Oryctolagus cuniculus: one gene and its partners. The protein of the gene in region 1 purifies or fractionates together with the protein of each later gene. This does not show direct contact. Links are inferred from orthologs where the notes say so. Each region holds a gene or a part of one and is shown on either strand. Other genes may lie near its edges.

The links.
Region 2: the proteins of ANKRD28 (region 1) and PPP6C purify together in Homo sapiens (affinity purification with mass spectrometry; 9 studies listed by BioGRID and IntAct, with this or other methods). This does not show direct contact. The link is inferred for Oryctolagus cuniculus from reciprocal best matches to the Homo sapiens genes ANKRD28 and PPP6C.
Region 3: the proteins of ANKRD28 (region 1) and PPP6R3 purify together in Homo sapiens (co-immunoprecipitation; 3 studies listed by BioGRID and IntAct, with this or other methods). This does not show direct contact. The link is inferred for Oryctolagus cuniculus from reciprocal best matches to the Homo sapiens genes ANKRD28 and PPP6R3.
Region 4: the proteins of ANKRD28 (region 1) and ARHGEF2 purify together in Homo sapiens (affinity purification with mass spectrometry; 3 studies listed by BioGRID and IntAct, with this or other methods). This does not show direct contact. The link is inferred for Oryctolagus cuniculus from reciprocal best matches to the Homo sapiens genes ANKRD28 and ARHGEF2.
Region 5: the proteins of ANKRD28 (region 1) and PPP6R1 purify together in Homo sapiens (co-immunoprecipitation; 4 studies listed by BioGRID and IntAct, with this or other methods). This does not show direct contact. The link is inferred for Oryctolagus cuniculus from reciprocal best matches to the Homo sapiens genes ANKRD28 and PPP6R1.
Region 6: the proteins of ANKRD28 (region 1) and PPP6R2 purify together in Homo sapiens (co-immunoprecipitation; 4 studies listed by BioGRID and IntAct, counting the BioPlex papers as one, with this or other methods). This does not show direct contact. The link is inferred for Oryctolagus cuniculus from reciprocal best matches to the Homo sapiens genes ANKRD28 and PPP6R2.
Region 7: the proteins of ANKRD28 (region 1) and AP2M1 purify together in Homo sapiens (affinity purification with mass spectrometry; 3 studies listed by BioGRID and IntAct, counting the BioPlex papers as one, with this or other methods). This does not show direct contact. The link is inferred for Oryctolagus cuniculus from reciprocal best matches to the Homo sapiens genes ANKRD28 and AP2M1.

Annotation. Positions count from the first base shown.
Region 1 is NC_091435.1:151,313,768-151,317,659, forward strand, and holds part of ANKRD28 (serine/threonine-protein phosphatase 6 regulatory ankyrin repeat subunit A), read right to left. Parts: intron 3,485-3,892; coding exon 3,283-3,484; intron 1-3,282. UniProt on the Homo sapiens protein: Regulatory subunit of protein phosphatase 6 (PP6) that may be involved in the recognition of phosphoprotein substrates. Involved in the PP6-mediated dephosphorylation of NFKBIE opposing its degradation in response to TNF-alpha.
Region 2 is NC_091432.1:229,001,360-229,005,833, forward strand, and holds the start of PPP6C (serine/threonine-protein phosphatase 6 catalytic subunit), read right to left. Parts: upstream 3,085-4,474; 5' UTR 2,867-3,084; coding exon 2,792-2,866; intron 2,721-2,791; exon of another isoform or gene 2,148-2,720; intron 1-2,147.
Region 3 is NC_091432.1:4,119,733-4,124,341, forward strand, and holds the start of PPP6R3 (serine/threonine-protein phosphatase 6 regulatory subunit 3), read right to left. Parts: upstream 2,859-4,609; 5' UTR 2,725-2,858; intron 2,662-2,724; exon of another isoform or gene 2,519-2,661; intron 1-2,518.
Region 4 is NC_091438.1:42,726,062-42,729,953, reverse strand, and holds part of ARHGEF2 (rho guanine nucleotide exchange factor 2), read right to left. Parts: intron 3,300-3,892; coding exon 3,232-3,299; intron 2,981-3,231; coding exon 2,917-2,980; intron 2,361-2,916; coding exon 2,231-2,360; intron 2,071-2,230; coding exon 1,961-2,070; intron 1,863-1,960; coding exon 1,716-1,862; intron 905-1,715; coding exon 654-904; intron 457-653; coding exon 331-456; intron 141-330; coding exon 23-140; intron 1-22. UniProt on the Homo sapiens protein: Activates Rho-GTPases by promoting the exchange of GDP for GTP.
Region 5 is NC_091449.1:3,643,358-3,647,249, reverse strand, and holds part of PPP6R1 (serine/threonine-protein phosphatase 6 regulatory subunit 1), read right to left. Parts: coding exon 3,755-3,892; intron 2,916-3,754; coding exon 2,778-2,915; intron 2,696-2,777; coding exon 2,630-2,695; intron 1,571-2,629; coding exon 1,458-1,570; intron 1,372-1,457; coding exon 1,258-1,371; intron 818-1,257; coding exon 655-817; intron 565-654; coding exon 412-564; intron 335-411; coding exon 200-334; intron 1-199. UniProt on the Homo sapiens protein: Regulatory subunit of protein phosphatase 6 (PP6). May function as a scaffolding PP6 subunit. Involved in the PP6-mediated dephosphorylation of NFKBIE opposing its degradation in response to TNF-alpha.
Region 6 is NC_091442.1:123,368,160-123,372,051, forward strand, and holds part of PPP6R2 (serine/threonine-protein phosphatase 6 regulatory subunit 2), read left to right. Parts: intron 1-1,568; coding exon 1,569-1,633; intron 1,634-3,028; coding exon 3,029-3,144; intron 3,145-3,892. UniProt on the Homo sapiens protein: Regulatory subunit of protein phosphatase 6 (PP6). May function as a scaffolding PP6 subunit. Involved in the PP6-mediated dephosphorylation of NFKBIE opposing its degradation in response to TNF-alpha.
Region 7 is NC_091435.1:93,757,905-93,761,598, reverse strand, and holds part of AP2M1 (AP-2 complex subunit mu), read right to left. Parts: intron 2,455-3,694; coding exon 2,189-2,454; intron 1,472-2,188; coding exon 1,389-1,471; intron 841-1,388; coding exon 705-840; intron 605-704; coding exon 463-604; intron 18-462; coding exon 1-17.

The DNA of each region.
Region 1 (3,892 bases):
CTTCCACTGAAACTCCCACCCTCAGCATCTGTGAGCTAATGGAATGCTCATTTTATATAACTTTCTGGTGCTGTGATCAGGGCAAGCAGCCTGCTTGCAGTCAATGGGTGAAATCACGTTAGACCAACAACCCCGTTCTCTTTGCCTGTGATCAGTTAAGGTGAGCACATGGTCCAGACTTGACCACTGGGATTTTGAAGTCCACAAGGCTTCTGGGAAATACCTTTATGTTTGATAATGGAAACACCCCTCTTTCTTGATTTTGGATGGGACCCTGTAAAGAAGCAGTGACTATCCTGCAACACCAACACAAAAGGCAGGCATCTGAAGAGTGAACTAGCAGATGAGAGCTTGTTCTGTCTCTCAAATAAGTAAGTTAAACCCTTGCACGCCCACTTTTTTTTTTTTTTTTTTTAATAAAATAAAAAGAGTAAGAGAATTTGGCCCAGGAGGAATAAACCAAACCTGGAAATGCTTCTAACTCTGGCCATTTTTTAAAATTAAGATTTATTTATTTACTTGAAAGGCAGAGTTACAGAGAGAGAGGATGAGACAGAGAAAGAGAGAGAGAGATCTTCCATCTGCTGGTTCACTCCCCACATGGCTGCAAAGGCCAGGGCTGGGCCAGGCCAAAGCCAGGAAGTTTTTCCAGGTCTCCCATGTGGGTGCAAAGACCTGAAGTAATTGGGCCATCCTTTGCTTCTTTCCCAAGCATATTAGCTGGGAGCAGGATTAGAAGTGAAGCACCCAGGACATGAACCGGTTGCCCATGTGGGTACTGTCTACACCACAACACCAGCTGTTTTCATGTCCAACGCCTTAACCACTTGGCCATCACTGTCACACTCTCTGGCTGATTTATGTGAAAGACTAAACACCTATCACTGAAACCACTTTCAGTTACGTATTCTGTTACCGATAGCTCAAAGAATTTCATCTATGAAATCATGCTTATGTATTTCCAAATAACACAAAATGGGGAAGGATACAAGCAAAGTCATATCCCAAAGAAAACAGAAAGCTTTTAAAGTCAGTTAAATCTTTTGCTTAAGTGTGGTCTTACTCATATATACAATCAAGTTTGAAGTTTAAAAGCATATATAAGCCATATAATGAAACAGAGGTGAACACTGTACCAATATTCTTCTTAATCAGATGACAAAACTAGTGAAAGCAAGCTAGCTACCACAATTCGGAAGTATGTTCTGATACCTATTTTAAATTCTAATAGTAAGATTTGTAGCTCAAAACCATCACCCCTTTCCGACTCCATCTAATCTGAATGCTGTACTCTGCTCAGTAATAAACAGACCATAGCCGGCACCACAGCTCACTAGGCTAATCCTCTGCCTGCGGTGCCGGTACCCCGAGTTCTAGTCCCGGTTGGGGCGCCGTATTCTCTACCAGTTGCCCCTCTTCCAGTCCAGCTCTCTGCTGTGGCCTGGGAGTGCAGTGGAGGATGGCCCAAGTGCTTGGACCCTGCACCCGCATGGGAGACCAGGAGGAAGCACCTGGCTCCTGGCTTCAGATCGGCGCAGCGTGCCAGCCACGGCGGCCATTGGGGGGTGAACCAACAGAAAAGGAAGACCTTTCTCTCTGTCTTTAACTCTGCCTGTCTAATTTAAAAAAGAGAGAGAGAGAGAGAGAGACTATAACACCTGGGGATAGTTCAAGGAGATCTTATTTGGCCCATCATTTTTGAAAAGATTCATGTATACTCATTGCACAACAGCTACTGAAGAGTGTTTTTGTGTCAGAACACCAAGCATAGCATCACTCTGGGAGATAACTGGCTCACCTCCAGAAAAAAAAATCTGAGTTTTTTCATGACTTACGCTCTCTGGCCTCCAAATTTGAAAGAGATCTACAGAATGGAGGCTTGCATTCATTGAATAGGTAGGTGCTAACATTAACCTGTAAGTTTTTTTTTTTTTAGGTAGAACTTATGCTGGATTATATGGCATTGTTGAGCTATTTGTGAGGGACTGGTAAGTTTCTTAGTTCAACACTGAAATATTAATGCAAAACTCCATGAAAGCTTTAATTAGTTCTACAAATGACCTGTGGTTACAATATAATTTTTCTATTTGTTGGCTGACAGAACTTTACGCTTTTACAGAATAAGCTAACTACAAAGTGATAACATTTGACCTCTTAAATATAAATTTATTTGGGGTCTTAATCCATTATTAAAATATTTGCCTCTGATCCCTGTTTGAGTATTTGATAGTTCTGAAAGACTGCTCTGGGAGCCAGAGTGGGTGCTACCTATGGTCTTCAATGCAAACTTTACAAATAAAATAAACATGTATAGAAATAAAATCCAACCTTCAAATGATCTCAAGGATCATTCTGTAAAAGCAGACTAAGTGAAATCAATCTAATCATATAAAGATAGCCTACTGAAGATAAGAAAAACACTCAGCTAACTTTTCTTCAGTTGTACCTGTCGTGGTTATTTAAAATGGGGTGAGCATTTGGTGAAGGGGTTAAATCTGGTTGCATCCATACTGGAGTGCCTGGTTCGAGTCTTGGCTACTCTGCTTCCGATCCAGTTTCTTGCTAATGTGCACCCTGCGAAGTAGCAGATGATGGCTCAAGTACTTGGGTCCCCGACACTCCCATGGGACACCCAGATAGAGTTCTGGACTGTTGGCTTTGGCCTGGTCCAGCCTTGGCTGTTATAGACATTTGGGGAGAGAACCAGCAGATTCAAGATCTGTCTGCCTTTCAAATAAAATGCAAATAAATTTAAAAGATAAAAATGTAATTCCTGTAGAGAACTGTGCCTCTGCACTTTCTAGTGATAAACACCTGGTATCAAGTTGCTTTAATGACTTGGTTACAGATTTCTGTAGTCTTTACATTACCAGTAACGTCACAAAATTACAATATGAAGTAATTCTTACATAAAGCAGATGACCTACATATTTTGTCTGAAAAAATGGTTAATGCAGAACACTGGTACAAAGAGTCAGAATGTTTATCAATTGTTGAATAAAAGCCATGTTCCAATCCAAAATAACTTCCATCAAAAAAGAAGTAAAAAAATTACTGCTTTGATAAAGAATTTAAAGAATTGATATAAATACATCTTCTAAGACAGAAAATGACTTCTTAAAGTTGGTATATCTTGCTGGCTTTCCTCTAAAAATACAATCATTTTACCATTTGAAGTAAAAAACTTAAAGACAATTTACCAGGAGTATTGTATACTAGAAACTGAAAGAGAAAATATTAGATGGAAAGCAGTAAATAAATCCAGGCTAACATCTGGCATACCTGCTGCATGGATAGGTGTTCTCTTCAAAATGTAATCCTTCACTAAGATTGAGGCTCCCTGGTTAATGAGCACATCCACACATTCCACATGGCCCTTAAATGCTGCCAGATCTAAGGGTGTTCTTCCACTACTATTTCTCACATCAAGATCTAACAAAGATTGCACTAGCACCTCCAGTGCTTGATGGTGACCGTGATAGGCCTAGAAATAAATAAAAATATCAATTAAAAATACATACTTAGATTGACTTCCTATTATCTTTATATTTGACATAATACAAAACTTCTATTTTAAGAATTAAGAAAGTTAACTATACTTTTTCTAGTTATTAGTATAGTAGGCTACAGTTCTAGGGAGCAGGTATTCTGAAAAAAATGAAGTTCAAATGACAGATGATCTTTTCGTGAGTATACAATGCCTGCTTCATGGCAGATATTCAATGGATGTGTGACATGGGTTCATTTAAAACTCCGATGCAAAGTCTACTGATTCCAAAGCCCATATTCTTTAATCAGAGTTTGGTACTACACATTACCACTGATAAAATTTTTACTATTATTAAAAATCACAAGATAGCCAGACCAACTTGAGTCAGTGGATAAAGCGATG
Region 2 (4,474 bases), on another chromosome or scaffold:
CACACTGCTGACCCCCCAAGTTGTAGCCACTTTCATGGACTAACAGTTAATGTGATATTTCTGGAACTTACTCTTACGCTGCATGTCTGATCCAGCTCCCTGCTGATGTGCCTGGGAAAGCAGCAGCCTGTACCCATGGAGGAGACACAGATGGAGTTCTGGAGGCTGGCTCAGCCTGACCCAGCCCTGGCCTTTGTGGCCATTTGGGAAGTGAACCAGCAGATGGAAGGTGTCTCTCTGTGTATCTCTGTCTCTCTGTTACTCTTTCAAATAAGTAAATAAATCTTGAAAAAAAAATTTTCTAAAAATTCAGACAACCTTCAAGTTATAGACTCTCTCCTCCAAAAGTACTTACATATTCAGCAAACTAGACTTTTAGTATATGTGCTGCCAAAGCGAGCACCAAACTAGACTTTTATCACTCCTTCTTTCACTTAGCAACTTATGAAATCTAAACCATCTATTGAGCTCTGTTGTCCACTCACTCTCAGGTACTTTATTCTTATTCCCTCAAAACAGGCAGATTCGACCTGGTACTAGTATTTTGACCATTTCAAATTCAGTTATAAAGAACTTGTTATCACACCTGAACATCCTATGTATTTATTATTTAATGTTGCACCTCTAACTTCTAATAAACTTAAAATACAAATAAAAATTTACTTTCCTTTCTACCCAAACAAGTCTCTTCCATCATGTTCATTAAGTGGCCCCAATTAATTCTTTCCATCCTCTAACAGAATATTTTCTACTGACTTGAAAGCATCAAAGGTGCTCCTAGAGTATTTTTTGGTCTGCCTATTTTTAGTTTGTACTTCATGCCAAGAAAAAGAAACATAAATTAAATTTCTTTAAATACTCTGGAGGTGCCGGCGCCGCGGCTCACTAGGTTAATCCTCCGCCTTGCGGCACCGGCACACCGGGTTCTAGTCCCAGTTGGGGTGCCGGATTCTGTCCCGGTTGCCCCCCTTCCAGGCCAGCTCTCTGCATGGCCCGGGAGTGCAGTGGAGGATGGCCCAAGTGCTTGGGCCCTGCACCCGCACGGGAGACCAGGAAAAGCACCTGGCTCCTGGCTTCGGATCAGCGTGATGCGCCGGCCACAGCGCACCAGCCGTGGCGGCCATTGGAGGGTTGGAGGGTGAACCAACGGCAAAAGGAAGACCTTTCTCTCTGTCTCTCTCTCTCACTGTCCACTCTGCCTGTCAAAAAAAAAAAAAGAAAGAAAAAAAAAATTTTCCAAAACAGAAGTCTCTAACAGAGAAAAATCCAGAATTTAAGTAGTTGCTCAGAAGATATAAAGTTTATTAAGAATCAGATGCAAATAAATACAGTCCAACTATGTTTCAACAGGAAATAAAATGGTTTAATAATTACTTCCTTCAGATAACGTTTAGCAGACTAAGAGATCTAAAGAAAATCCAACTGTTTTTCAAGTAATTTGTGTCCCACCTCAAGGTAATATCAAGACATATTTTCTGAAACTGAAATCACAAAGTACAAAACGGCTTTAAACATAACAAATGAAAACAGAATTCCACATCGATTCATTAACATGCAATGAATTCACCAAAAAGATGAACAATGCTACCAGCAGAGGCCTGGCCAGTTCTCCATGAACGGGTTCCCAATGCTGGCTACACAGCACGCGTCTGAAGCACTGGGAGCAGAAACACTACACTACCATTAATAAAAGCTGTCCTTAGTGAAGCTATCCTATTAAAAATGGGGGGGGGGGGGACGAGAGTGATTATCCCAGCATAAGCACATACAATTCATTTATATTCACATCAGGCCAGGGAACCTGAAAAATTTTGCATACTTGTTGAGTGAGGTTAAATATCAACTTCCGGTACCAAAGGATATAGCAAAAACACAAACACGGTCACATCTACTTTTGTAACTTTACAACCCACGGCTTAATGAAAGCATGAAAAGCACTCGAACCGTTTACAGCTTACCCACTTAGCACAGAGCCCATCAAAGTTAACAGAACAAATGAGACACCGGCACTAGCGGGTAACCGCTGCTGGAAACCCAAGCACTGGTTTCAACAAAGCACAGAAACGCTTTTCCAAAATTATCCGACCCCGACTCCTGCACCCACACACACAATCCCACCACTCGGGCAATAACAAGCAAAAAGTCACCTTCTTCCAAAAAGCCAAGAAGTGGGTTTCGGGGGCACGACTTCCAGGCGAGCAAGCTACTGGTATCTGCACACTTTACCCAACACCGCCACAGACCGGGATTCCCAGCTGAATTGGCACGAGAGCCAGCACGCCCAAGGAGCAATGTGGAGCGGCGTACGGAGGGACACGACGTCCTCTTACTCCGCTCGGGCCCCGCCGCCCCGCCGGACCTCAGCGACCCCGGGAGCCGGCCACCCGCGCTCCTGTCACCTCCGGGGAGCACCACCCGCTGGGGCTCGACTCCGGCTCCGGGGCTCGGCGCTGCGGCTGGGGAAGAGCGGGGTCTTCCCGGCGAAGCTGTAACGGCTCCGCGTCCAGGGGCAGCCCGCAGGCCAGGAGGGGCGACCCCGGAGGAGAGCCCGCGACAGCCCTCGGGATCCCCGGCGGGGGAAGCCAGGACAGCATCCGGGCACTCGGGCTCTCCCGTCTCCCCGCGTGACGCCGAGCCCGAGGGTCGCCTCCCACCGCGGAGGGCTCTCCACCGCGACAGGACTGGACACCCGGCAGGGGTCCCGCGGAGAGAGGAAGGGCGGACCGGCGGGCGCCCCACAGCCGGAAGGGGCGAGCCCCGCAAGCGGCACTCCCGCCCCGGCCGGGCTCACCTTCAGGTCGTTTTCTGGCAGGTACTTGCACAGCCGCGCTATCTCCACATACTTGTCCAGGTCTAGCGGCGCCATTTTAGGAGGAACAAGCCGCGGCGGCGGCGGCGGCGGCGGCGACGGTACTAGCGGCGGCAGCGGCGGAGGCCGAAGCCGGAACTCTCCCTACGTCACGTCCGGCCCGTGAGTGGCGTCTGCGCAGCGACGTTAAAGCTTGACCGGATTCTCCGCGCCGCCCCCGCACGTCCCGCGCCCTCGCTGACTGATCCCAGGCTGCAGCCCGAAGAGGTCCCCTCAATTCCGCCCGCGAAACCTGCTGGGACCCGTAGTTGCCTGCCGCGGGGGTTGCTGGGATTTGTAGTTTTCAGTTGGAGCCGGCTTCTCTTTTTCCTCCTCTTCCCGGTACTTCACCCCTGGAGACCCGGCAAGGCTTATCGGAGGCAAAACGGCGAAGTAGGTGACCTGAGCGTTCTGTGGCTTCTCGTTGCGACCCTTTTAGGCCCTCTCTCAACAGGACATCCTCAGTTAGAAATTGGGTAAGCCTGCCCGTAGTAGCCTGGTTGCGCCTTTCCAAGGTTTTGCAAAAACCTCGGTTAAACCTGTGGCGGAGAAGCCGAACTCCCAGTCGTCTGGTCTTGAGGATGAGAAAGGAAATGTCAAAGCGTTTCTTGTACCGGATGCCGCAAGGGTTCTTTTATTCTGTGTTTTCTTCCCCGCCCCACTCCCCTTCCCCCATTAATTCTCATGATTGCTGGGAAGGTAAGGCTTGGAGACCCTACGTAACTTGCCCCACATGTCACCGGAAACGAACGGTAGAGTCAACATTGGAAAACAGGTCAGCTGGCTTAAGCAGACCTCCGTGGGAGTCCCACGAGGGAGGGAGTTTAATGTTGTGTCCCCAACCGAGTAAGATCACCTGGCACTGAGTAGGCCTTCAGCATTCATTGAGGCATTCGTCATTCCGCAGCTGTTTACCAAACACCAGCCATGGGCCAGGTACAACTGCAGGCGCTTGGGATACGCAGTCAACACAGTAGACAAAGACGGGCGTCCACAGCCTGTGGTTGACAGCTAGGACGGGAAGACACCACGCTGCCATCAATGCATAGCGTTTGAGAAAGTGACGTGTGCTAGGGGAACAACGCGGCAGAGTAAGGACATGAACTTTGAAAGCCATCTAAGAAGTGGGGGAGTTGCCCATGCAGCTACCTGAGGGATATGATAGGGAGGAGCTGGTGCGGAGGCCCTGAGGTGGACGCCTATCTAAAGTCTTCGGGAAACAGCAAGATTTGTGTGGTTGGAGCAGAAGTGAGAGGAGTAGGAGAGATCAGAGAGAAAAGGAGAAGAATACTGTGTTTTTTTGTTTTGTTTTTTAAGGATTTATTTATTTGAAAGTCACAGTCACACACAGAAGGAGAGAGAGAGACAGTGAGAGAGGTCTTCCATCTGCTGGTTCACTCCCCTAATCAGCCACAATGGCTGGAGCTGCTCTGATCCAAAGCCAGGAGTCAGGAGCTTCTTCCTGGTCTCCCACACAGGTGCAGGGGCCTAAGCAGTTGGGCCATCTTCCACTGCCTTCCCATGCCACAGCAGAGAGCTGGATCAGAAGTGGAGCAGCCGGGACTTGAACCAGCACCCATCTGGGATGCCAGCACTGCAGGCGGTGGCTTTACCCACCATGCCACA
Region 3 (4,609 bases), on another chromosome or scaffold:
CTTACAGCTGAAGCACCTGAAACGCATCATCTCCCCTCACTACTAAAATCTGCCGGGCAGGATCTGGGTGCAAAGGCAGAGCTCACAAATCACCCAAAGGACCCCCAGCTACAACTGTCCCTGAAATCTAACATCCTGAACAGTGGTCCCAAACCCGAGAAGCACAGCAATTTGTCTGGGAAGTTTTTAAAAGTGGATTCTCACCCCCACCACAAACCACCAGAGCTGAGGCCCAGCACCATGGTCGTCTTTAAAAGGATAAGACTGATTCGTTTATGTCCTCTGAAAGGAAGAGAGACAGAGGGGACGAGCAGGACCGCGACATCAATCTGTCTTCTGGTTCATTCCCCAAATGCCCACAAGAATGGGGCTGGGCCAGGCCACCGCCACCAACTCCATCCGGGCCGCCCATGAGGATGGCAGAGGCCGTCCCAGGCACATCACCACAACTGCCGAGCAGCCAGGACCCGAACCAACGGATACGGCTGCCGGCATGCCAACAGCAGCTTAACCCACTGCACCACAATGCTCACGCACCCACGGCCTCCACGTCCCGCGGGATTCTAACACAGGCCAGTCCACCACCACCTAGAGCAGGGTGCATCGGCCTCAGCCCCACTGCTGTTCGCGCTGGGTGACTGTCCTGCGCGGTGTCCCGGGCCTCTGCCTTCCAAACACACAGCACCCACCCCCGAGGCTGGCAAGCGTCTCCCAACGCTGCCCAACGCTTCCCGGGGTAGAATCACCCCAAGTTGAGAATCCCTGATCTATAATTAAAAACAACCATTTGAGGTTTTCTTAAGAACAGGAAGAAGCGTGAAAGCTGCCTAAGTCAGTCCAAGAAGCCCCACTGGGCTCAGATCCTGACTTAGTGCTCCCCGTGAAGCACCCCGAGGCTGGGTTCCCGCTGAGCAGTCAAAGACCGCCATTACTGTCGCTTACTCTGACGTGCAGGAAACACTGTAAAAACTGTCAGTCAACACATGCTCGGGCTGATATCTGAAATTCAAAACCACAAGACAAGCTCATGACGGAATGCCAAGCCTGGCCAATGCTGTTTCAGGAATGCTTACTTGTAATAAAGACACTATCTCTGTACCAAACACGCAAAAATTTATCTTGAAGAAACCAAACACGCCTCACCCGTCAAGTCTTCATCTACACATCCAGCTGTGGCCTGACTCTAATTCCCAGTCAAAACCCGAAAGATGTTTCTGTTTATTTGTCTGGCTTCTTGTACTCTGCACAAAGCTCGAGTCTCCTTCCGGTCTGAGTAAGCCACAGCAGCCTGATGCCGGTCCCCACGGGGGCCTCCACAGGATCAGAATCCACTTCCCGGGCCAGCACAGGCACCGGGGGCGGGGGGGCAGCGGAGGCCTGGGCGACTGGCCGCCGCCGCCGCACTCCGCTCCCAGCTGCACCCAGACGGGAGGGCCCTGGGGTGCACCCACACCCCACCAGGGGCGCCTCAGAACCCCGCGCAACACTCCAGGAAGGACCCCAAAGGTACACGAGGCAGAGTCCCAGGAAAGCGCTGGGCGGCCCTCTGCGTGTAGCCCCCTCCTGGAACACCAGCCCTGGCTCCAGCCCCCGGATCTAATCCCACGAAGCTCCATCAGCCCCCTTCCAAAAAAAAAAAAAAAAAAAAACACAAAACTACAACTTCCACTCATTTCCGACCCCAGCTGACTCTAAACTACAAAGCAGGCCGGGCCGAAACGCTCGTCCGACTCCCACCGGGGCCTGCGCGCGTCCCAGGCCCGGCCCGGCCCGGCCGCCCCGCGCACAGGTGCCCCGGGACCACGCAAGGTCACGGCGCCGGCGAGCCGCAGCCTCGCGGGGCAACCGCGAGCCTCGGGCCGCGCGCTGCCCATCAGCAACGTGACCTTGAGGGCAGAAAAAGTAAACTCCACCCCGGCCAGGCGGGAGCGGCCCCGAGCGCGTCCCCCGGTGCCCCGCACTCGCCCGGACACCTGCGACTCCGCCCGCGCCCCCTCGGCGGGCAGCACCTGCGCGGCGGCCGCGGACGCGCGCCTCCCGGACGGGGGTCCTCGCGGCCCCGGCCCCCAGGAAGGCCACGGGAGCGCGGCGGCCGGCTTCGGGGCGCGTCCCGACGACTCCGCGCCCGGCGGGGCGAAGCCCACCAAACTTGCTTCCCGGAGGACAGAGTCCAACAATGGCCCGCGCTCGCCCGCGGCTCCCCGGGACACGCGGCGGGGGCGGCCGGGGCGACGCGGGCGGGAAGCCGGAGCCCCGCAGGGGCGCGCCAGGCCGCGGGCACCCGCGCCGCGCCGAGCTCGCCGCCCGGGCCGCGGCTGACAGGAGCGGGCGGGCAGCGGCGCGGCAGGGCTCGGCGCCGCGCCTCCCGGGCCGCCGAGCGGCGAATTCCGGGGGGGAGGGGAGAGGGGCCGGACGCTCCCGCCCCGCGCCGAGACCCCGGCGAGGCGCCCCTCGCCCGCCCGCGCGCCCCGCCGCCCCCGCGCCGCGGCCCGCCCCGAGGCCTCCCCACCCCCATTACCTGGAGGCGCCCACGACCCGCCGCTAGTTGCGCTCAGGCGGGAAACGCGCTCACCGACACCATCAGCGAAGCGCCCAAAATGGCGGACGTATCAAGCAGGCCTTGAGTGCCCCCCGCCCTCCCTCCGGCCGCCTCGCAGCCAATCGCGGCCCAGCCCCCGCCCCCAGCTCCACCCTCATTGGCCTCCCTCTCCCGCCCCCTTCAACCTATTGGATCGCCCAGCGGCTCCCTTGCCTCCCCTTCGATTGGCTCGCAGGCCTCGTCAGTCAAACGCGAGGGGTACATTCTTTTTCCCATGGACTTGACGGATCCGGAACCTCTAGGACCCTGGAGTCGCAGAAACAAATCAGGAACCGGGAGAAACTTGGCTCGGTCCAGCCCCCTACGCCGTAGCAACAGCAGGGCCTCTGCTTGACGGACGCCTCGGACCACCAATCTGAGCGGCCAATGTCTCTTGAAACTAACTTGAGCCAAACCAATCGCGGCTGTGGAGCCTGAGCCGCGAGCGAACCAATGGGGGAGCGAGACGGGCGGGTAGGCGGGGCCGAGGGGACCGGTGATGACGTGAGTCACAATACGCGCCGGCGCCGGAAGCCGTGCGGGGCCGGGGAATTAGCTCAAGTGGTAGAGCGCTCGCTTAGCATGTGAGAGGTAGCGGGATCGATGCCCGCATTCTCCACTGCCAACTTTTACGGCGGGGATTACCTGTCGCGTGCACTTCGCCGCCGTCACGTGGCCGCCCCGGGCGCGGGGGTCAAGGCCAGGGTCGCCGAGTGCCCCCGGCCCTGTGGGGCCCTCCCCAGCGCGAGCGGCGAGAGAGGCCGCGCGGGCCCCTCCCTTTTTCCACAGGGGAGGGCCTCCCCGCGAGCTGACCTCCGCGCCGCCCCCCGGGGACCCCAGGCCCGCGACTCCGAGGACGGCCCTGGGGGGCTCCTCCCGGACCAGGCTGCGGCGCGGGGCGCGGACAGCCCCCCCAGGTGCCCGCCCAGGTGTGGGCCGCCTGGACCCCGTGCGGAGAAGCGTCCTCAAGGCCTGGCGGCCCTGGCTGGGGGGCTGGGCCCTCGTAGACCCCGCGGGGCGCTGGCCTCCCCGCAGCCGCGGTCACCCGCGTGGACTCCGGCAGGGCGGAAAGCCGGGTCGCGGTGAGGGCGGGCACACACAGGCAGGTGACCTGGGCGGGGCAGGGCCGAGCGCACCCTCCCCCCCCCCCACGCCCTGGGAGGACAGGGTGGGGCCGGCACAGGTCTGGGGTGGGGGGACACACCGGAGGCCTTGGAAGTCGGCCAGAGGCACCTACCTGGGGCTTGGGCTCCGCCCGTGGGAGCCAGGGCGGTGCAGGGCAGGTTGGAGCAGGAGCCGCCCAGGGCCGGAGGGGCAGGCCTGGACCGAGGGGGCCGAAGGCTGCCAGGGGCCTGCCGGGGGCGGGGGCCAGCCCAGGGGGAGGATTGGGGGGGGCAGCCCAGGGGGAGCAGGCTGCAGGGGGGGAGGACTGGGGGGACAGCCCAGGGGGAGGACTGTGAGGGGGCAGCCCAGGGGGAGGATTGTGGAGGGGTCCAGCCCAGGGGGAGGACTGTGGGGGGGGCAGCCCAGGGGGAGGATCGTGGCGGGGAGCAGGCTGCGAGGGGCGGGGGCCAGCCCAGGGGGAGGACTGTGGGGGGGGAGGCCCAGCCCAGGGGGAGGACTGTGAGGGGGCAGCCCAGGGGGAGGATTGTGGAGGGGTCCAGCCCAGGGGGAGGACTGGGGGGGCAGCCCAGGGGGAGGATTGTGGAGGGGTCCAGCCCAGGGGGAGGACTACAGGGGGGTGGGGGGAGCAGGCTCCGAGGGGCCTGCCGGGGGTGGGGTCCAGCCCAGGGGAAGGACTGGGGGTCCAGCCCAGGGGGAGGACTGGGGGGGGAGCAGGCTGTGAGGGGCCTGCCGGGGCGGGGGCCAGCCCAGGGGAGGACTGCGGGGGGCGGGGTCCAGTCCAGGGGGAGGACTACGGGGGGGGGGGGGCAGGCTCCGAGGGGCCTGCCGGGGGTGGGGTCCAGCCCAGGGGTAAGACTGGGGGGGCGGCAGGACCAGCCCAGGGGGAGGACTACGGGGGGGGGTGGG
Region 4 (3,892 bases), on another chromosome or scaffold:
TCTCGCTGCCCCTCCCCCTCACCGTGGGCGTGCTGCAGGATGCGGCTGATGAGCACCGGGTACTTGGTGATGCGCTGAGTCACCAGTAGGATGCACTCCTGCACCCCATGCCGCTTTAGCACCGCAGAGCGGGTCACTTTCTGCAAGGAAGAGGCGGGGTTCAGGGCCATGGGGGCCAACCAGAGGAGTCCGCCGTGCCTGGGCACCCACAGGGCCCTGCCCTGTCACAGAGGGCTGCCTCAATGCCGAAGCCGACGGCGCCTGCGAGTGGACGGGCACACACGGGCTCGGACCCCGACTGCCCCCCCACACCTGGAGGGCTTCGCTCACCCGGATGAACTGCTGGAAGCGTTTGTCCCGGGCATACAGCTCCTTATAGAGCTTCAAGGCCTTGGTGTGGCGGCTGCAGAACTCCGAGTAGGTCTTCCGCATCTGCTCCGCGCTGGGGCCGGAGAACTGGACATCGGGGACAGACTGTGTCAGCACCCCCCACTCCCCCATGTCACACCCTCTCCCTTGGACCCACCTCCGGCCTCCTGCCACACGGGCCAGCTTCCCGCCTCGCCAGCTCGCCCCCGGACACCACGACCCCTTTCCCCAGCCCGTCCAGTTTGTCCACCCTGGCTACCCGTCCTTCCAGGAACTCGTCCCACCTGGTTGATGAGCAGGTCACCCAGGCGGTGGATGACGAAGTTGCGGGTGCTTCCAGGGCACAGGGCCTGGCGGCGGCGCTCCAGCAGCTGGCTGAGGAAGCGCGTGTGGATGTCGCTCAGCTCGTCCACGCAGGGGAACAGGCCCTGGACCACTCCGGGCTCCAGCTGCAGCTCTTCCAGCATCCCCGTGCGGAAGAGGCGGGTCATGATCTTCAGCGTCCTCACGTGGTGCAGCTCTGTCTGGATTAGCTCTGTGGGCACAACGGGACATCTGGCCTCCTCCGCCTGGCATGGCCACTGTGGGTGGGGTGCTGCAGGCTAATAGGGACCTCAGGGCACCCACAGGTCTTCAAGGCCCAGACCAGCTTAACATTCTGCATTACTAGGATCTTAGGTCATTCTCTAATAATCTTTTATCTGTAGTTATGCTTTGGCATTGCAAGCTGTAAGTTGTTTCAGAGCAAGGACCACGTTGTCTTCCACACGTCCGGCTTTCCCTAGCTCCGGGATAAGCACAGAACAAAGACTGCGGGCTGGCACTGTGGTGTTAACAGGTAATGGGTTAGGCTCCCATCTGCGATGCCGGCATCCCATATGGATGCCAGTTTAAGTCCCAGATGCTCCACTTCTGAACCAGGTCCCTGCTAATGTGCCTGGGAAAGCAGCAGAGGATGGCCCAAGTGCTTGGGCCCCAGCACCCACACTGAGAAAGCCAGAGGAAGCTGCTGGCTCCTGGCTTTGACCTGGCCCAGCCCTGGCCATCGTGGCCATTTGGGGAGTGAACCAGCAGGCAGAAGATTTCCCCCTTGCTATCTCTCCTCTTTGTAACTCTGCCTTTCAAATAAATAAAATAAATATTAAAAGACTGAGGAAGGAATTGGAGAAAGGACAAAGACAGGGCCTCGGAGACCGACAGCAACAGTGGTTGCACTGGGCTGCCAGGCAGCAGCACGGCGACCCGCAGGGAAAGAGGGGAAGGGCCTCGACAGGTGGTGGTGGGCAGAGAGGATGTGACGGGCAGGACCTGGTGAAGGCAGGGATGCGAGGGCGGACTTGGCTCACCATAGATGACATCCTGCTGCTTCATCACCTCCTTTTTGTGCTGCTGCAGGAAGCTGCCGTCCACGGCCAGGCTCCAGGAATCAGCTGCGAAGTCCTTCTCGTCCATCTCAAAGTCACTCATCAGCTCATTGTAGATCACCTCTGCACCTGGGCACGAGCCGGGGCAGCAACTCAGAGCCGAGTCCTCCTCCCGGGACCCCCTGCCAGGCTGCTTCCCAGCTGCCGCTCCTCGCCAACCCACCCACCTTCGTCAATGAGGGATTCCACCGACAGCGTCCGGTTCCGCACGTTGAGGGAGTCCGTGGACTGCGAGAGGATGCGGCGCAGCCCCAGGGGAGACTCATCGTTGAAATGGCTGAAGGAATTGGGGCTGTTGGCATCCCCCAGCACAGCCAGGATCCCAGAGGCAGCCTCCCCCCACCCCATGTCAAAGGACCGTTCCGCGCCCCCCACCTCAGGCTCCACTGCCGCGCTCTTGGCCCGCCTGGCTGCCCCGTTCCCAAGCAGGGGCTCACCCAGCAATATTGGTGGTGGACACGCTCTTGGCTAAGGACAGGGAGGTGCGGCCGCGGCGGGAGCCAAGGAGGGACTGCCGGAAGCTGTCCGAGGGGTAGATGGCAGAGCTGGGCCGCTCTCGGATGGTGGCTGGGGGTGCAGAGACCAAGAGGGCAAATGTTAACACTGGTGCCTTCGCAGGACACAGGCCTCCCAGCTTCCTCGGCTCTTGTCCAGGGGACGTGGTGGCAGCGGTGAGGACAAAGCCACCTTACTTCAATGCTCCCCAAGAACCTTGTCTTGTCTCTTTCTGGGAGCAAGCCCATGAGCAAAGTGAAGCTCAACAAGGGGCGGGGATTCGGCCAGTGGATGAGCAGGGTCTGGGGCTCGGCTCTTTTTGCCCTAGCACCTGGCTCCCCTGGAACAATGCTGTCTGAATCGAGCCATGACAGGTCGCCAATGCTGAGCACATCAGCAACAGCACAGGGGTGCGGCCGGGCTCAGGGGACTGGCCATCCCAAGCCTCAACCCCATTTGGGTCCTCCTGTCCAGGCTCTGAGCCAGAGGGTCTGGACTATCCCGTGTCCCTGCTCCCAGCTCCCCAAGGAGGAGAGCGGTGTTGTGCCTGTGAGTGACCTCAGGGGGGCAGCAGAGCCCACGGGCCGAGCAGCCTGGGGTCCGGGGTCTTCCTGGGGCCACTACTCACTCTTACTGCGGAGAGACACAGACTGCAAGGCAGTGTTGTTCTTCAGCAGGGCAGCTTTCTGTTGCTGCAAGACAGAGACACCAAGAACAGCCATCACCCACGGGTCGCCCCCACAGGCACGGGGAGGCACTGGCGCTGTGGCCCAGGGCTGCGGGGCTGCATTTGCAGCAGGTGCAGCAGGAGGCCTGGGGCTGAGGGTCTGGGCTGCCCATGGTGAGGACAGGGCTTGAGGCACACAGGGTAGGGATGAATGGAAGAGGGTACCGCACGCTCACTACCCTCTCCCCCAGCCCGCTGCCCTCCCCACCCTCTCACCTTCTGCTTGACCTTGGTACAGTTGGCGAGGGTGTCTTTACAGCGGTTGTGGATAGTCACATTGCAGGCTGGGAGGGTGGGTAGAGAGGGTGAAGGGAGGGTCGGGTGGTACAGGAGGGGACTCACCCCCACCCCAGCCCCTCTCCTCCCACCTCCCTCTTCCTGCCAGCAGGAAATGAAGTGAGAAGGGGTATGGATGTTTAGGGAAATTAAGCCAGCAGGAGGGGTGGTGTGAGGGGGGTCTAGAGAGAAGAGGTGCAAAGGTGGCTGGGACTGGTGGAGGGAAGAAAGGCCCCCCAAGGAACAGAAGACAGGGCAGCTGGGCCAGGGGCCAGGAGACCAGAGTGGGAAACACACATTCTCCCAGTACTGAGTGTTCCACCTGTGCCTAATCCTTTGGGAGAAATTCAATTATGCTCCTCTTCCAGTCACCTGCCAGCAGCAGCACTGGATTCGAACCAGACTCCCAAGGCCACACTCCTGCTGCCTCCCCACTCCCAGCATGCCTTGGACTCTGGGCCCAGGCACTTCTAAGGCTTGGGGGTCCAGCAGCAGAGTGGGGGCAGCCTGTGCCCTGCGCTGCCTTCTGCACCAACTCATCTGCCTTCTCTCTCCAGGCCCAGGGAGTCCTGTTCCCCCCAGCTAAGGCAAGCCCACAGCT
Region 5 (3,892 bases), on another chromosome or scaffold:
GGGCAGTGCCCAGGGGGGAAGACTTCCCCACCCCCCACAGTGCAGGGAGCAGGCCTGGGGAGGGGGCAGTGCCCAGGGGGGAAGACCCCCCCATACCCCGACAGGGGAGGGAGCAGGCCTGGGGAGGGGGCAGTGCCCAGGGGTCTCCCCCTCCCACCCCCCACAGTGGAGGGTAGGAACGGGGTGGGGTGCAGCTCACGTGTTTCACTACAGGGTTGGAGACCGGTGTCTCGGGGCTGCTGTCGGGAGGGGGCCCTGAGCTCAGCATGGCGCTCACACACATTTCCACTTGGGTGTGCAGGAAGTTGTTGAAGACATAGTGGAAGAAGAGGTCCTGGGGACGACCCGCCAGCGTCAGAGGCCCCAGCCCTGGCTCCCCCCTCCCGCAGCCCGCCCCTGCCCGTCACACACCAGCAGGGTGTTGGGCACATCCAGTGCCAGGAGCTCCTGCGTCAGGGCCATGTCATTGGCACTCAGGGCGCTGGCCAGGAGCTTGACCACGTGCAGCCGTGTGTTGCCCAGGGGCGGGGCCAGGCTGCCCCATGTCATCCGCAGTGGCTCCAGCTGCAGGTCCAGGGCGGGCTCAGTTCCCACAGCAGCCCTCCCTAACCCCTCACACCTCCCGCTGGGACCATGAATCCCCGTGCCCCGGACCTTGGGTGGCTCCAGCAGGAGCTGGTGGAAGTGGGCAAGCCGTGGGCGCAGAGCGTGCAAGGCCCCCGTGCTGGACGCCGCACTCTCCAGGGCGCCCTGGGCCAGCAGCTCCAGCTGCCCGTCCACGCTGCTGAAGAAGTTGTTCATGGTCACCGACTCAGACCTGCGGCAGGGACAGGGCAGAGGGAGTGAAGGCCCACACGTGTGCACGGGGCGGGGTGTGGTCAGGGCTGCTCTCCTCTGAGCCCTGCTCAGGAGTGGCAGTGAGGAAGGCGGGCCAGCAGGAAGGGAACAGGGAGCCCACGGTGCACGTAGCAGGGGGACCTGCGTGAGCAAGCGGGGTGCAGGGCTGCGACAGAGCTTCGCCCACGTGGAGGGCCAGGCCCTGCACCACACAGGCTCGACCCCAGCCCCTCTACTCTTGCGAGCAGGCGAGGCTTGGGCCCCAAGGTGCACACGTGCCCCCGGTATGATCCTGACCACCGCGACCGGGAGCACAGGTACTCGCCGCGTGTGAGGCGCTGTGTGCCAGGCTTTGCACAGTGCACGCTGCAACCTCCCGTCCAAGGCCCTGGGGAGACCCGGGGCGCCCCAGCCCCTCACCTAGGCCTCCTGGGCTCGAGCAGGGTCAGCAGCACCTGGACCCCGCTGACGACGACAGAGGGGCTCTGCTCCCCCTCCAGCATGTTGCTCAGTAGCTGCTCCATCGTCTCCTGCCTGGGGGGTCAGGGAGGGTGGGGTCAGGGAGGAGGCCAGGGGCCTGAGCTCCCCTCCCAGCCCTCGGCACTGTTTGGCAAACCCACTTCTCCAGGGTGGCCAACAGCTGGTCGGGCTCCGGGCCATCCTGGCCTTGGATCATCTGCTCCCGGCTCAGGCGGATGATGTCGCACAGGGACTGGGACGCGTTGGAATGTTGCTGGGCAGGGCGAGAGGGCGGGGTCCAGTCAGCTGCTGGCCCCCCACAGCCTGGCGCCGGGACCCCCCAGCAGCCACTCTCTGGTCCCCCAGGCACCAGGAAGGACGGGGCAGGGGCAGGGGCACGTGTCGCAGAGGGAGCCCCGGGCATCGAAGCTCCCAGCACAGGAGGCACACGGGCCGCCCAGCAGCCCTGCTCACAAGGTGGTGAGCGGGGACCCACTTATGAGCGATGGCCACACACAGAGCTGAGGGAGGGAGACGGGAGGGCCTGCTGGTGGGCAGTTTCTCTCTGGAGCAATCACACGTTCTGCACCTGCTGTGCCGACAGCAATCCACTAAAGCCACTGACTACAACCAAGTGGAGGAGCCCACGGTGCCTTATTTACTTCTCCAAGTAGTCACAGAAGATGTCACAGGACTAAGGGGAGGCACGGAAGCACAGGCAGAGCTCAGAATCTGCCCAACAGCAGCAGTCAGGACCGAGCCTCCTGGTGCCTGCCCCATGGCTCACAGCAGACGCCCGGGCCTCAGCCTCACCGGCCTCAAGAGCTGCGACCCCCCTCCCCTGGGCACGGGCCAGGGCTGGGCCAGCCTCTGAGCCACGTCCCTGCTCTGCGACCCCCCTGGGCACGGGCCAGGGCTGGGCCAGCCTCTGAGCCACGTCCCTGCTCTGCGACCCCCCTGGGCACGGGCCAGGGCTGGGCCGGCCTCTGAGCCGCGTCCTGCTCTGCCAGCCCGAGACACAATGCTTCCAGGGACCCCGGAGGCTGACGCTCTTGGCACAGGGGTGGAGGCGGCTGGGACCCAAGGCGGGGGAAACGCGAGTGTGGGGTAGGAAGTGGGGCCTCGGGGGACTGCGGAATGGAGTCCGGAGGACAAGTACAAGGACAAAGCTAAGTGGCAGGAAGGAGGAGCCTGGGAAGGCCCTCCAGATCCCCGGGGGAGACGCCAGGGTCAGGGGTTGCCCTTGGTGCCCCTTTCCCACCCATGCATCCCCCAAGGGCAAGCGTGCGTGTGCACAACCAGTTCAGCGGAGAGCAGCAAGGCCCACGCTCACATTGTCATCCTTCGATGGGTGGATCTGATCGATGAGCCGCTGGACAATCTTCTCCTCGTTGAGCCACTGGGGACGAGAGGCTGCGTGAGGCTCCTCCTGTGCGCCGCGCCCCGCCCCACCCCACCCCGCCCTGCGGCCAGCCCCTCACGTTGACGACGTCCTGCCGCAGCTGGGGCCGCTCCACGCAGGTGAGCAGGCGCAGCAGGAGGTCCATGATGGCGGAGGTGCCGATGTGCCGCAGCAGCAGGTCCACGAAGTCGTCTTTCTTGCGCAGGAAAGACACCAGCTGCGGACATGGGGCTGTGTCACGGCACCAGGCCAGCCCGCACTGCCCGCCGGGGTGTGAGGGGGACACGGGGCCTGTCACGGGGCCGGGCCAGCCCGCACCGCCCACCGGGGTGCCGAGGGGGACACGGGGCCTGTCACGGGGCCGGGCCAGCCCGCACCGCCCACCGGGGTGCCGAGGGGGACACGGGGCCTGTCACGGGGCCAGGCCAGCCCGCATCGCCCATCAGGGTGCGAGGGGAACACGGGGCCTGTCACGGGGCCGGGCCAGCCCGCACCGCCCATCGGGGTGCCGAGGAGGACACGGGCCATGCCACGGCACCGGGCCAGCCCACACCGCCCGTCGGGGTGCCAGCTACGGACACGGGGCCTGTCATGGCTCCAGACCAGCCCGCACCACCCACCAGGGTGCCGAGGGGGACACGGGGCCTGTCACGGCTCCAGACCAGCCCGCACCACCCACCAGGGTGCCGAGGGGGACACGGGGCCTGTCACGGCTCCAGACCAGCCCGCACCACCCACCAGGGTGCCGAGGGGGACACGGGGCCTGTCACGGCTCCAGACCAGCCCGCACCACCCACCAGGGTGCCGAGGGGGACACGGGGCCTGTCACGGCTCCAGACCAGCCCGCACCACCCACCAGGGTGCCGAGGGGGACACGGGGCCTGTCACGGCTCCAGACCAGCCCGCACCGCCCGCCGGGGTGCCGAGGGGGACACGGGGCCTGTCACGGCTCCAGACCAGCCCGCACCGCCCGCTGGGGTGCCGAGGGGGACACGGGGCCTGTCACAGGGCCGGGCCAGCCCGCACCGCCCGCCGGGGTGCGAGGGGGGCAGGCACCTGGTCGGTCTTGCGGTTGATGAGGATGCCCATGACCTTGCTGAAGAAGCTGGCCAGCAGCGGGTTGAGACTGCTGCCGCTCTGCAGGAAGCCGTAGAGCCGGTTCAGGAGGGACTCGTCGGCGCCCAGGGCGTCGTT
Region 6 (3,892 bases), on another chromosome or scaffold:
CTTTAAAAAATGAGGTGCAGTAGGCTGGTGCTGCGGCTCAATAGGCTAACCCTCCACCTGTGGGGCCGGCACACCGGGTTCTAGTCCCGGTCAGGGCGCCGGATTCTGTCCCGGTTGCCCCTCTTCCAGTCCAGCTCTCTGCTGTGGCCCGGGAAGACAGTGGAGAATGGCCCAAGTGCTTGGGCCCTGCACCCCATGGGAGACCAGGAGGAAGCACCTGGCTCCTGCCTTCGGATCAGTGCGGTGTGCTGGCCGTAGCGACCATTTGGGGGTGAACCAACAGAAAAAAGGAAGACCTTTCTCTCTGTGTCTCTCTCACTGTCCACCCTGCTTGTCAAAAAAAAAAAAAAAAAAAAAAAAGAGGTGCAGGGGCAGTGTTGTGGCACAGCAAGTTAAGCCACTTCCTGCCATGCAGTTTCTCGCATGGGCACCGATTCAAGTCCCAGCTGCTCTGCTTCCAGCTGTTAACGTGCCCGGGAAAGCAGTGAAAAATGGCCCAAGTGCTTGAGCCCCTGCACCCACATGGGAAATCTGGAAGTGGCTCCTGGCTCCTGGCTTTGGCCCGGCCCAGCCCTGGCTGTTGCATCCATTTGGGGAGTAAACCAGCAGATGGAAGATCTCCCTCCCTCCCTCCCTTTCTCCCTCTCTCCCTTTCTCTCTCTCTCTCCACCCCCCCCCCCAATGTCTCAGACCCCTCCCTCCCTCCCTCTTTCTCCCCCCCAGGAATGTCTCAATGTCTCAGACCCCACCTGTGGCTATGGGAGGGCAGAAACTTGACAAGGGGTCCCTGGATCTCTCTTCAGATGCCTCATGACAGTGGGGTTTGAGGGTCTGGAAGGCCTCACCCCTGCTTGCCCTTGACAGGGGCCCTGGCACTCTGTGTGCGAGCCTCTCAGGGTCACCCCTGCATGGGGTCCAGTGTGATGCACAGTGACTGCCGGGAGAAGCAGCTGGCAGGCGGGTGCTTTTGGTGATGAGAGCCAGGTATCGGGGACAGGGCCTGCAGGGGCCTTCATTGATGTGAGCTAGCTGTGGATGCAGGTGGGGTCCGGATAAACTTGCCAGGTAGAAGAAACAGGAGAGGAGCCAGTGTAGCGCTGCACTGGGTAAGGCTGCACCTGTGATGGCATATGCACACTGGTTTGAGTCCCGGCTGCTCCACTTCCAACCCAGGTCTCTACTAGTGTGCATGGGAGAGCAGCAGAAGATGGCCCAGTGCTTGGGCCCTGCACCCATGGGACGACTGGGTGGGGTTCCTCAGCAGATGGAAGATCTCCATCTCTCTCTGTGTAACTCTGCCTCTCAAATAATCAAGTCGGAAAGCCAGGGAGAATGCTGGCGGCTCCATCGGCCCTTCTGGACTCTGAGAAAGGGGAGGGCAGGGGAGGACAGAGCGTGTCCTCTCGCCCTGCTCTTCACTTTCAGGGCATTCAGCGCTGTGAGCCTGTGGAGGCCCTGGGCAGGGACCTCAGAAGCTGGCCTGCAAGGATGTCCTGCCCACAGGGTCCGCAGTGCTGATGTGCAGGAGGGGTGGGGTGCAGACCCTCACTCAGCACCTGTCTCCCCAGCTGTTCCAGAAGTGCTGCCTGGTACAGAGAATCCTGGAGGCGTGGGAAGCCAACGACCACACACAGTAAGAGCCCTCCCTCCTGCTGGGCTTCAGAGCTGGCCGGGAGGGAGGGCACAGAACTGGTCAGGAAGGGGCAGCTAGGCAAGTCTCTGCTTCTGAGAGCCCACGCCGGTGTCTGCTCGCCCCCAGCTTGCGCTGGCCTTGTGTGCTTGAGGGTCCCACATCCGAACCTGAACTTCCCCAGGAACCTGGACTCACTCCATTAACACTTACTCACAGGCGTGCATTTTTATCTCAGTCTTTGCACATCTTCCATTGAACCGAGTGCCCCTCTGGGCAGGAAGCTGGTCCTGCCTGTTGTCCTCTGTCAGAGTCCATGTCTGCCCCCACCATGTGCTGTCCTACTGGGAGCGTTGGGCTCTGGGAATGTGGGAGGGGCTCATGGGAGCCCCGAGGGCTCTGAGTGCTGCTGTGGACCTGTCACCTGGACCTGCTTGTGGGACAAGCAAACAGTTCCCCACATGGCTGAGTCCTCAGGCTCGGGCTCCATTCCTGCTGTGCGGCCGCGTCCAGTGGCATCTGGGCCGACACTGTGTGGGCTCTCTCAGTCCTGCAGTCTGGGAGTCGGGCACGGTCAGTGTCAGCAGTGCTCTGTGGTGGGAGTCGGGCACGGTCAGTGTCAGCAGGGCTGCGTGGTGGGAGTCGGGCACGGTCAGTGTCAGCAGGGCTGCGTGGTGGGAGTCGGGCACGGTCAGTGTCAGCAGTGCTCTGTGGTGGGAGTCGGGCACGGTCAGTGTCAGCAGTGCTCTGTGGTGGGAGTCGGGCATGGTCAGTGTCAGCAGGGCTGCGTGGTGGGGGTCAGGCACGGTCAGTGTCAGCAGGGCTGCGTGGTGGGAGTCGAGCACGGTCAGTGTCAGCAGGGCTGCGTGGTGGGAGTCGGGCACGGTCAGTGTCAGCAGTGCTCTGTGGTGGGAGTCGGGCATGGTCAGTGTCAGCAGTGCTCTGTGGTGGGAGTCGGGCACGGTCAGTGTCAGCAGGGCTGCGTGGTGGGAGTCGGGCACGGTCAGTGTCAGCAGTGCTCTGTGGTGGGAGTCGGGCATGGTCAGTGTCAGCAGTGCTCTGTGGTGGGAGTCGGGCACGGTCAGTGTCAGCAGGGCTGCGTGGTGGGAGTCGGGCACGGTCAGTGTCAGCAGTGCTCTGTGGTGGGAGTCGGGCACGGTCAGTGTCAGCAGTGCTCTGTGGTGGGAGTCGGGCACAGTCAGTGTCAGCAGGGCTGCGTGGTGGGAGTCGGGCACGGTCAGTGTCAGCAGCGCTGTGTGGTGCTGAGATGGACAGAGACCTGCAGGTGCTGTCTGGACACAGGAATCTGGAGGCAGGGCTGCAGGGTGACGCTGAGCAGGGGCAGGCGGCTAGCAAGGACAGGGCTGGGCGGCCGCCTGATGGTGCCTGTGCTTTCAGGGCAGCAGGTGGCATGCGGCGTGGGAACATGGGCCACCTCACGCGCATCGCCAACGCCGTGGTGCAGAACCTGGAGCGGGGCCCTGTGCAGACACACATCAGCGAGGTCATCCGAGGTGAGCCCTCTGGAGCCCCTGCCCCTTCACAGGGGGAAACCCTGACAGGGAAAGGGCCACGCAACCTCCGTCGTCGTCTGGCCTTCTCCTTGGGTAGGCCTGGTCCTGGGTGGGTCTGAGCACAGCGTGCAGTCTGTGGGTCCCGCACTGGCGCTCAGACCTGCGGGCAGCAAAGCTGTTTTTCAGCTCATGGGCCACCAGAGTCCTCCTGATGCCGCAGTCCTGGCCGCATTTCAGCTTTGCTGTGATCTCGGGCACAAATCTTGGCGGAACCAAGGGAGAGAGTCATGTCTCATCCACAGCAGCAGGCAGTGCCCGAGCCTGGTGTAGCTGGGCAGCCCCATCCTGGGACCTACGCAGAGCAGTAGAGCAGCCCCCAGCGCAGGGCCCTCCCCTGGCCAGGTCCGCTCCTGCCCTCAGCCTGTGCCGTGGCCGCCCCAGGTCCTACTGCTGCCCTCAGCCTGTGCCGTGGCCGCCCCAGGTCCTGCTCCTGCCCTCAGCCTGTGCCGTGGCCGCCCCAGGTCCTGCTCCTGCCCTCAGCCTGTGCCGTGGCCGAGCCAGGTCCTGCTCCTGCCCTCAGCCTGTGCCGTGGCCGCCCCAGGTCCTACTGCTGCCCTCAGCCTGTGCCGTGGCCGCCCCAGGTCCGCTCCTGCCCTCAGCCTGTGCCGTGGCCGCCCCAGGTCCTACTGCTGCCCTCAGCCTGTGCCGTGGCCGGGCCAGGTCCTGCTCCTGCCCTCAGCCTGTGCCG
Region 7 (3,694 bases), about 58 Mb from region 1:
CAATTGATTGCTTCCCGCTGTAGTTGGGGCAAAAGAAATCTCATTGGCCCAGGAGAGTGGCAGTTGTCATGCTGGGGAACCACCCAAGGCTGACACCACAGACTACGGAAGCCCAAATGCAGCTTCCTGCCTGAGTTTGGAATGAGTGGGAGCTTTGCATGCCCTTCCCCTCAAGATGCTGCTGCTCAGGACTCGGGTGTTTCAGGCACACCAGGCAGAGGCATCAGCAGGTGCAAGCTCGGTCCTGAAGACCCACCAAAGGGCTTGTCCTCTGACGAGAGCAGGGTAGACAAACCCCTCATCTCTCATTGCTCTTAGAACTGGTGTCAAGAGCAACTAGCCAAGCACACCCTTGGGAAGACAGTAGGATTACAACAGAAATGAAGTTGAGAAAGAACTCCCCCAGACCCCACTGAGCCCTCTAAGGCCTGCCCTTTCCCACTGCTCCCCTGAATCAGACACCTCTTGCTTGTTTCATCAGCTGTGCCTTTGCCTTGCTTTTCAATTACAATCTTGTCATTCATCCCAAACTTGCACTCGGGCATGCCACTCAGGTAGCTCTTCATCACCACCCGGCCGGACACATGGGCACTCAGCACCTGCCCTGGTGACCAAACAGATAAATGGGAGCAGCTGAGTCAAACAGGCAGGCTCTGCATCCTGCCCTGGCCCCTCCTCTGGCTGTCCCATAAGAGGGCCCTCACCCTGTGGGGACATCAGTAGGTTCACACTCTCCAGCACATCCAAGAAGAGCTCATTCCGGCGATACTTGATGCCTTCTCGCCGCCAGCCGATCTGCCCAGTCACCTGGCTGGTGATCTGGGACTGTTCTTCTTTTGTCTAAGTGGAGGCAGAGATGCAGCAGAGGTTTCACTCCTCTCTCCTTTTAATCCTCCTGTCTGGGTCCCCACTGCAGCCTCATCCCTCCTCCCTTCTAGTCTCCACCTGCTGCATGGTGCAAGGCCTGCAGAAACAGCGCAAAGCTGCAAGGGTGGACATACAGGACGGCTTACCTGATGCTGTAGGCCGCAGGACCAACAAGGCGCCCACACGAAGCCGCAGGAGAGGCAGAAAAGAAGGAGAAGGCCATGAGGCCTGGATCCTAGAAGCAGGCCCAGCATGCTCCTCTAGACAGCCCACCCCTGCCCCCAGTGCAGGAAGAAACTGCTTGAGATGCATTCCCGGTAACAGAGATGCTGAGTCAGCTGCTCCTGCCTGGGCGGTGGGGAGAGCCACATGGACAAAAGAGGACTACAGTCATGGCAGGAGGCTCAAGCCAGTACTTCCTGTCAAGGGCGGACTCATGAGTCAGCTCGGACAAGGCTGGGGCCAGCTGGCATGAAGGGAAGTTGGGTTCCACCCCAACAGTGGTTGTACAATGTGAGTACCTGACTCTTGATGCCCTGCTGGGTAATGAAGGTTTTCAGAGCGCCTGTCTCAGAGTTCTGTGGGTAGCCAAAGTCCAGGATCTCTGCAAAAGGAAGGGAATCATAAGGCCCTGGACAGAGCTGAAGGTGCCTTCATTCTAGTCCCTCCCCTGGCCTGGACACGTCTGGCCAGCAAAGCTGGCAAAGACCCTGGAGAATCATTCACAGCATCCTCCCTTCAGCTTTGCAGCATTTACCCTGGGTTCTGTGCTTTGTAAGAAAACAGGACAGTGTTTGATTTTTTTCAAGTAAAGAAATCAGCAGAAGTGTCACGTGCCCAGTGGGTCAGAGGTCAAAAGGCTGAGACCTTGTTTTCTTTAGAAAACAGATGATGGGAAAGTGGGAGGGCTCATGTGCAGAGCACACCTTTCAGAAAACAGAGGTAGCAGTGCACCCCAAGGGGCCTGTAACACCTCGCCCTTTCCCAGGCTCCAAAGCAGCTGCCAAGATGGAGAGAGAGCTGGGAGGAGGTGAACGAAGGTGCAAACCACCAAGGAAGGAAGAGAATACGGGAGGTCCAGGCACGGAAGCCAGAGTCACGTTCCAGCTGAAACTTCCCCAGCCCCCACCTGCTGGCCTACTTCTGTGTTCCACTTCAGGGCAGCCTTTAGGCCTGGATTTGAACTGGCCTAATCCCAGCCCGAGAGAGCAGACACTCCAGAAAGTTCAGCATGCACCGCAGCTTCCACCCAGCTCCCGCTACCAGGCTGGGCCCAGTCGGGTTCATCCCCACCCTAGGCCCACAGCCCCACTGGCCTTACCATCCAGCAGCTCGTATATGAGCACAAAATTGTTCTTGATGTTTTCTTCGCTGATCTTGCCAAAGTAGGCAGCCATTACGTCACACATCTTATAGAGGAATTCGAAGACCATGGCAGCGTTGACATTCTGCTTGGTGACAGCTGCCAGCCAGATGTTGGAACGCTTAACATGGAAGAAGCTGGTGCGAGCAATGTTGGTGACGGGGCTGCGCACCTGCTGCCGGGCGTGGATAACATTGACCCGGAAGGCGTCCACTGCATTCCTCCTGAGGGGAAAGGGTGCACAGGACTGCTCAGGCAAACCTCAGGGACCAACCACAGCTGCTGAGAGCCCCACCCTCCTCACAGCTGAAGTCTGTCACACAGTCTATAGCCAATGCCTACACCAGCAGGGAACCAGTGGGGCACAGGAGGTGGCCTGAGCTGGGCCAAAGACCATGAGAAACAGGGAAGTGAAGAGGCAGTGCAGGAAGGCAGACGTAAGCTTAATAAACTAAAGCTCTTCAGATTGGGCAGCCATGTCCCTGACTGCTAGGCCTGCTTCCAATTTCCTACCTATAACCAGCTGCCACCTCTAGCGTCCTGGTAAGTTCCAGGACAAGAGAGAATGAGAGAATGAGAGCCTGCTTCTTCTCTAGTCCTCCCACTAGCAGCCCCTGCAGTGGGCAAAGCTGACGCCTCTAGAAGTTACACAAAGCGTGAGTTTGGAGAAGGCTCTGCCCTTCTGCGGGAGAAGTACCATGGGACCATGGAGCTGTGCCACCCGTTCTTGTCTGGGATCCAACTCCAGGACAAGTTCAAGGAATGAAGGACTACAGGGGTGGGGGTGGGGTGGGCAAGGTCCCCCACCCACCTGTACCTGGGCAGCAGCTTGACAGGCCCCTTACCTATTGCTACGGCAGCCAATGAGATGGGATGAGAGAAATGACGCCAGCAAGAAGAGGAGAGTGACAGCAACGAGAGAGAGGGTTAGACACACGACACACTGGGAGGACGGCACACACCATGAGGTGGCAGCAGACAAGACAGGCAAGGGATAAGAGCACAGCAAGGCATGCAAGGTAGTGTGTGACCTTGCCCCGGCTTGGCCAGGTCCAGCCAGCCAGGTCACACAGGCCAGGTGTTGCCCCCAAGTCTAGCTCATGCCGTGCCACCAGGTAAGGGGCAAACAGCCACAAAGGCCAGGCCAGCCCATCAGCCAGGGAGCCAAGAAGCCGGGCACTGCTACAGGCCCATTTTCCTGACTATTTATCTCAAGCTCTTTGAGGAAGTCCCTGCTCTCAAGGTAGCAGGAACAAGAGGAGCATAATCTCATCAGAGCTGCTGAGGTGGGGAGAGGGCCCCTCAGCCAGGAAGGAACAGTGCCATGCAGGGTGGGGCAGAATGAGAAGTAAGGCTGTGGCACCGAGGTTCTAAGGGTCCCAGGACATGGAGCGGCTCAGAGTCTTCCCTTATGGACCAGAAAGGACAGCATGGCCTCCCTGCCCTTCCCGCAATGGCCTGGAA